Linked DNA regions of Zea mays. The protein of the gene in region 2 interacts with the protein of the main gene of each other region in a pairwise test. Links are inferred from orthologs where the notes say so. Each region holds a gene or a part of one and is shown on either strand. Other genes may lie near its edges.

Region 1 (3,500 bases), on a different chromosome or scaffold from region 2:
CCCTGACTTAGAATTTACTACCGGGATGCTTGGGAGATATCAGATCAACCCAAGCATAGAACACTGTTAAGCAGTTAAGAAGGCTCTAATGTACCTCTAAGGTACGAAAATGGCCTCATGCTAACAAATATAAGATCTAGTTCCCTATTTCGAGGTATAAATTTACTATATCTGGGGGAGTTATTTCTTATAAAAGTTGCAAACAGACAGCGAGAGCATCGTCGACAATGCACACTGAGTTTGTAACCATGCATGAGGCAAATGGGCAGGCAATAAAGATAAAGAAATTTGTACCCGGATTAAGAGTGGTTGATAGCATAGAGCGACCACTGAGAATTTACTGCGATAATGAGCCAGCGGTACCGTACTCCTATAACAGCAAGTCAAGTGGCGCTGCCAAGTTCATTGACTTTTAGTATTATGTTGTTAAGGAGTAGATTCAGGATCAAATCATAAAAGATGAGCATAACAGAAGATAGCAGATGCTAGCGGATCCGCTCACAAAAGGTCTTCTACCCAGCGTGTTTAGTAAGCACGCATCCGGCATGGGTTTTAAGGGAGTACCTATGATCTTGAATCAAAGGGGCTACAGATTGCAACCAAATGAAGTCTCTTTTCGTTCTGAAGCAGGAGAGCATGTTGTAGTCAATGAGTGCGATGATACTTAATCGGTTATTGTCACGCATTGGTCTCTATGTGTAAACTTGTCGAGGGATGGAATCCAGAAAAGTTGAGTACAAGGAATGTAGAGAACAAAGGGGAGATTGTTGGGTGTGTCCTCTACAGCCGGTCAATAGAGACTGGATTGGGCTTAACCCAACTATCGTTCCTTTAATCGGGCCCTTGATCGGGAGGGCCCACGCTAACCTCGGTTGGAGCCCCCAGGCACACGACGCTATATATATAGGACTAAGGGGTCGCAGGAAAAACTAACGCAAGTACCTCGCCCCAAAACCCTAGCTACCAGAGGCCCCCATCGCCTAAGTGTCGGAGTGTCCGGAAACGCTACAACCAACGGCAGCTCGGATTCGATGCGTGCTGTTTCTCTGCAGGACAACAATATGAAGACAGCAACTACAACTCTCCAACAATAAGGTATGTTTTCCTATTCCTCTTAGTAGAAGAGATGTACTCGTCATAAAGATTTCACTTCCAGTTACGGATTGGTTTTCTAAGGACTTAGGAATCGATCCTACACAGTATAGATTCTAACAGTATTGGCATGGCAGAATGGTCAGACGTTACGTAGTTTTCGTGAGATCGATGCCACTGGGTAGAGACTAGGGAGTACTACCTTACCTCACTGCAATGTTCACTTCTCAGGGCGGCTTTTCAGGGCCCTGTGTTAATAATGACTGAAAAGTGAGCTGACTTTACTTTAGGTGCTGCTGCTCCACTAAACAAAAGGTTCGGAGCACAGAACCTTCTTCTCCATTGTGCTGGCAATGATTGGGCAGAACCTGAACTCCAAAAGGCTAGTTTCCTTTCTAGCCCATCATTTTTTTTTCTTTCTTATATGCATTCCCCTCCTCTCTTCTGTAAGCAGCTCTGTGACTTTTACTTTTAAAAAGCTATGTAACTTTGTCCTAAAGAATATAACACAAGTGCACAACAATTAATACGAGCGGCTTCGTTGTGGTCGCAAATCTGAATCGCAAACTTGAGTGTAGCTTAACTGGTTACTAGTTAGGTGTTCTTTAAATTATGGTGAAACTTGTTTACTCGTGTTCAAGTCATTGAGCTAACACAAATACTTATATTTTTTAGATTTATTTTTTTAAGATTAAACAATGTTGTTTTCTAGTATAGTAGACGATGTGCTCGTCGATAGCAAGGTGTTTTTGTGGCAATTTCGACAGTCTCCAGATCTCTCGATCTGGACTCGGTCTTTTAGAGGCGCACATGGGGATATTATATCCATGCATTTATGAGTGAGTGTGTCTATGTTTTTATTGTTTGTCAGATTAATAAGAAATCGGCATTGGAATTTGACGTGGTGTGTGGAAGAGGTTTATTTATGCAAATTACCGCTGCTCAATAAAAATAAAGAGGAACAAATTCACATATTTTTTCAAGGAATTGACAAAATAAAATACTTCTTTATTTACACTAGAACCTAGGAGAAATAACTCCTTTTCACTACTCCAGTTACAAATGTCACCTAAATCGCTTTCCACACGTACTGTCCCACCTTATTAATCTCTCTCTAACTAGAATCACTCCATCAGAGATTAAGGAGCAGGAGCTAAGAATTAGAGGCCACTTGGTAGCGCTCCATGGAGCGGATTATCGATTAAAAATCATTTCCGGCTAGCCAAACAGCAATTGCACATATATGTTAGTGTGGATTAGTCAAGAAGTACTTCACCATATAAACTGGAAGATATAGGAGCTAAAAATATGTTTCTCACTGCTTTCTATTCAATTCCAGTCATAATCACTCTTATCAATTTCCATGTGTTCCTCACAAAAGTTAGTGTATCATAGAGCTAAGGAGCTTGAGCTACAAACAAAAAGCCACTCCCATCTACCCTCCATCTAAAAATAGTAATGATATTAAACTAGAGAAAGAAAAGTCATGTAAACTATTTTTTAATCATTATTTTATTTTATAATATAAAGCCAGAGGATAAAAAATCAATACCATTTTAGAGTTATTTTTAACACAAACCTATTGATATAAGTTCTATGCTCTAACAATTTCACTAATTATTGATAAAAATTTATAAGTTTTGAATATTTCCCCTGGTTTATAAGATCGTTTAGACCGTGAGGAGGCACAAAAATAAAAGGATTCTTTACTAGCGCATGGGTCCCCCAAAACGATCTAGCACTAAATGTGGCCCATGTGGCAAACCTTGAGGCACGTAATCCAGCTCTAACTCCTCCGATTTCGTTGACAGCAGAGATGCCGATGGTAAGTGATGGAAGGCTTGAAACAGTCAAACCGTATCGTACTTGTCCCCTCGCTTTACACGCTACCCAACTTTATTCGGCAAGAACCGAACTCGTCGATCGAGATGCAAACCCGTAGAAACTGAAGCGAACAGTAGATTCTTGTACAGGGCCGCAGTTGTCATCTCATCGTAGTGCTCCCATTTGTAGCCCAAAAACTGAAGCGGAGGATGAGAAGGGCGGAGCGCATGGCACCGTACCTGGCCCTCTGCCTTGCGCGCTCTCCGGGAGCAGCACTCCGGGTGCGGCGCCGGCGGGCATGATGCTGCCGCCGGGCCCCGGCACGTGGTGAAGCTCTGCAGCCTGCTGCACGGCCTTCGCCGTCGCCCCCAGCGGCGGCGGGTAGTAGCTCACGCCCTGCGCGTAGTGCTGCCCAGACTTGTCAGCCACACAGCACACAAAAAGTAGAAAAGAAAAAAAAAATGAAGCAGCCAGCAGGGGACGCGCGGCCGGACCTGGACCTGCGGTGGCGGCGGCGCCGGCTGCAGGTGGTTGACGCCGATGTAGTGCCCGTACGGCTCCGTGATGCCCACCGCGGGCATGTG
Region 2 (4,073 bases):
TCCATACTTCTGTGAGTACCAAAATTGTAGTTACATGTTGGTAATGCATCTGGTATAACACATGCAATCTCTTCTCTGTGCAGGGCCAATCTGGGGCGGCATCCAACAACCCTCATGAAGGGTACAACCTAACGCAGCACCAGTCCAACCGCCCACCTCCATGAGAGTTATGTATTTAGTGTTTCGAACACAAAACTTATGTTGAATACTTGTCAGAGCGTGTAAACTTGTGTTGATACTTCTGAACTTCTGTTAATACTGTTTGTGTTGAGAACCTCTCAACTTATGTTGAATACTTATGTCAGAATTTGTGTTAATACTGTTTGTGTTGGCTATATATGTCTGTGATGTATATATGTGATATCTATGAAATATCTTTTGTTTGTTTGGATGGAATAGGGAAAACAAATAAAAAAGGTGTGTACTGGTCTTGACGAGTGTAACACTCGGCAAAGCACCTCTTTGCCGAGTGTCAGAACCATAACACTCGGCAAAGAACCAAGACCTGGGCACCGGTATAGGTTCTTTGCCAAGTGTAATGGCTCTGGCACTCGGCAAAGAAGCACGCTTTGCCGAGTGCCACACCAAGCACTCGGCAAAGTACCTGACATGGGGAACCCCTCCGGCGGATTCTTTGCCGAGTGTTGTCAGGCAGTCACTCGGCAAAGACGCCGTCTTCGTCACCCGGCGCCGTAACGTCTGCTTTTCTTTGCCGAGTGTTCTCTGGCACTCGGCAAATCACTTTGTCGAGTGCCCGAGAAAATTTTTTCGGCAAAGAAGACTTTGCCGATGCACTGTGTGCCGAGCCCTCTTTGCCGAGTGCGACACTCGGTAAAACCTTTGACGAGTGTTTTTAAGGCTTTGCCGAGTGTTTCAGACACTCGGCAAAGCCGTCGGTTCTGATAGTAATTGTTAATTCGCATGCCCATAGACGGCTCGGTTTCTGTACCAGCAAGTACATGCACACTTGGGGGGTTGGGGTGCAGTTGCTTTGCGCAGGCTGTCAAGGTGCGCAGCAGGGAAGGAAGAAAGAAGCCATCCAATCATTTAGATCTCGCTGTGCAAGTACTAGTACTACGGAGCAGTAGTAGTAACAAGCTTGTGGTTGTGGGATCAGCCAACTGCGCAACGAAAAATAATTGCCACTGTATGCCCAACTCAACTCCTAGCTAGGAGAGGAAGAAGAGTACAAGGAAGAGACTGTGGCAAGCACAGCACAGTGGATACACACCTAGCTTGGCCGGTACAGAGCACCGTGCTTGCTTGTCCATTTCCGTCACAGCTAGCGCTTGCCCAGGTCCCCCACCTTATCAACAACAACTGTGCCCCTCCTGCCCCCGCTCGCCGCGAGAGCTCCCGTCCCGACGACCTTCCCTCCTGTAGCACTCTACAGTCTACACCAAGCAGCAGCGTCTCCTGTTGCATGTTGCACTGCACCTATCTACGACGTCCGTTCCCAGTGCTTTGCTCACCGACACCGTATCTTATGAGCAAGGAGCCCTGCTGCTCCCATCACCTTCATCAAGCCAAGCGTGTGTCCTCTGTCCTCTCCCAGCTGCGAGCTCCGACCCCCGGCACCATGTGAGCGGTTCCTTCTCATTCAAGCTCAACCTTGTCTCCGGGTTCTTGCTTGCTTGCTTGCTTGCTAACACCGCTGCCTAGCAGGTCCGACAGCAGCGACTTCGCCGAGCTGCTATGGGAGAACGGCCAGGCGGTGGTGCACGCGCGGACGAGGAAACACCCGCCCCAGCAGGCCGCCTTCCCGCCCTTCACCTTCACCTGCAGCAGCAGAGCTCAACAAAGGCAGCCGGTGCCGCCGCTGCTCAAGACGGGAGGAGGTCTCTTTGCCGACTTCTCCTCGGCCACCGCCGGCCTAGACGCCCCCCGTGACAACGCCGACCTCGACGACACCGTGCCGTGGATCCACTACCCCATCCCCATCGTCGACGAAGCCAGTCCCGCCGCGCCTGCCCTGGCAGATAGCTTCATCCCAGATTTCTTCTCGGAGCTGCATGCGGCGGCGGCGACGACGAGCCTCGGCCCTCTGCCACCACCACCACCACCACCACCAGCAGTCCAGCACACCGGCGACGACAACGACAACCGGAGCACCCCGGTTCCCAATCCCACCACCGGCAGAGGACCAGAGCCCTCAAAGGAAACCCACCGCGCACCAGTACCAGGTCCAGCCGGCAGGCCTGAGCCACAACCACAAGCTGAGCTCGCGCCCGCCAGGAAGCCTCGGCAGGAGAGCGGCGGCGGGGAGGCTTTGATGAACTTCTCCATCTTCTCTAGGCCGGCAGCCATGGCGCGTGCCAGCCTGCGGCAGAGGCCGCCACAGACAGGCACCGACAAGGCGTCCAATGCCACCACGAGCACCCGCGTGGAGTCGACGGTGCTACAGTCGGCCAGTGCCAGTGGGCCGAGAACTGCAGCTGCCCCCGCCGTGTTCGTGGACCAGAGGACGGCGTGGCCGTCGCAGCAGCCCAAGGAGGTGCGGTTTCCATGCGCAGCAGCAGCGCCACCGCCGACGCCGACGGCTGGTAACCTGCAGCAAGAAAGACCTAGCAACAACAACATGACTCCTCCGCAGAAAGAAGTAGAGACCAGGAAGGCGTCAGAGGCTGCGGGCGCCACCGCCACCTCATCGGTCTGCTCCGGCAATGGTGCTGGGACAGGAAAGGACGACGAGTCCTGGCGCCAACAGAAGAGGAAGACCCTGCAGGCCGAGTGTTCCGCGAGTCAAGATGATGTAAGCAGAGGATGTGAAGATATCGCACACCTTGGACACTGGAGTATCTAACACTGGTTCTCTTCTCTTCAGGATCCTGACGATGAGTCCGGTGGGATGAGAAGATCGTGCAGCAGAGGTGCGAAGCGCAGCCGCACCGCGGAGGTGCACAACCTGTCCGAAAGGGTAAGTCCCATGCCAATATGCCATGCGATCGATCTCGAGCTGGAGCCTGGAGCTGTGCACTTGAACTCACCGCACTGTAATGCATGCAATGCAATGCAACAACAAACCTGCAGAGGAGAAGGGACAGGATCAATGAAAAAATGCGTGCCCTGCAAGAGCTCATCCCCAACTGCAACAAGGTATGAAATGTAGATGGTAGATGGAACTGGTAGCAATAAACAGATGTATCGTCTCATCATCTCTCTCATTGCGCGCAGATTGACAAGGCCTCCATGCTGGACGAAGCGATCGAGTACCTCAAAACCCTCCAGCTTCAAGTGCAGGTACACTGACTAAAACTCGAAATGTAGCATGGTTCTTCTTCCATATAGATCGATGCACTGACAAGATATATGGTGGTTCTCTTTGATGCACTGACACATCACACAGATGATGTCCATGGGAAGTGGGCTGTGCATTCCTCCCATGCTGCTGCCACCAGCCATGCAGCACCTGCAGATTCCTCCGGCTGCTGCTCACTTCCCTCATCTCGGCATGGGATTGGGTTACGGGATGGGTGTCCTCGATATGAACAGCGCGGCGGCGGCGGCGGCGGCGGTTCCATTTCCGCACATGCCCGGTGCTCACTTCCCTTGCCCGATGATCCCAGGCGCGCCACTACCACGGGGTCTCGGAATCGGAATGCCTGCCAGAAACACGATGCCGGTGTTCGGAGTCCCTCCTGGGCAACCAATCCAGCCACCATTCCCATCTTTGGCGGGCCTTCCTGTCAGGCCAAACCTGGCACCTCCTCACGCCTCCTCAGCCGCCATGGCTAACATGGTGCAGGAGCAACAGCAGCAGCAGCAGCATCAGAGCCTGAATAATGGAGCATCAACAGCAGCAGCAACAGCATCAGATCCTCAGACTATCGTGCAGGTAGCGTTTCACAAATAGTGTATATAAAAATAGCTGAAAAGATCTTCGCCTGGATCTCTTATATCCAAATTTCACAATGGTTCCAGGCTGAGAGACAGCATTTTAGTGTGCCCTCTTCAGCACAAACCGAGAGCGATCAGTTTTTGGATGGTGGTGGCAACAGGGCTATTTGTACAGGAAGAAATGAGGCTGAAACATGAAAAACACTCAGCAGGTGAGTCTCTGTGTGTGTGTGACC

Evidence for each region. The genes of interacting proteins can lie anywhere in the genome.
Region 1: the proteins of Transcription factor PHYTOCHROME INTERACTING FACTOR-LIKE 15 (region 2) and Transcription factor PHYTOCHROME INTERACTING FACTOR-LIKE 13-like interact in binary tests that used the Arabidopsis thaliana proteins (3 or more experiments, as listed by UniProt). The link is inferred for Zea mays from reciprocal best matches to the Arabidopsis thaliana genes PIF3 and PIL5.

The regions. Positions count from the first base shown.
Region 1 is NC_050096.1:258,572,712-258,576,211, forward strand, and holds part of Transcription factor PHYTOCHROME INTERACTING FACTOR-LIKE 13-like, read right to left. Parts: coding exon 3,411-3,500; intron 3,325-3,410; coding exon of another isoform or gene 3,313-3,324; coding exon 3,156-3,312; coding exon of another isoform or gene 3,082-3,155; exon of another isoform or gene 2,080-3,081; intron 1-2,079. UniProt on the Arabidopsis thaliana protein: Transcription activator. Negatively regulates chlorophyll biosynthesis and seed germination in the dark, and lightinduced degradation of PIF1 relieves this negative regulation to promote photomorphogenesis.
Region 2 is NC_050103.1:1,249,804-1,253,876, forward strand, and holds the start of Transcription factor PHYTOCHROME INTERACTING FACTOR-LIKE 15, read left to right. Parts: upstream 1-1,273; 5' UTR 1,274-1,423; coding exon 1,424-1,581; intron 1,582-1,665; coding exon 1,666-2,752; intron 2,753-2,824; coding exon 2,825-2,917; intron 2,918-3,030; coding exon 3,031-3,096; intron 3,097-3,174; coding exon 3,175-3,240; intron 3,241-3,346; coding exon 3,347-3,835; intron 3,836-3,921; coding exon 3,922-4,035; 3' UTR 4,036-4,049; intron 4,050-4,073.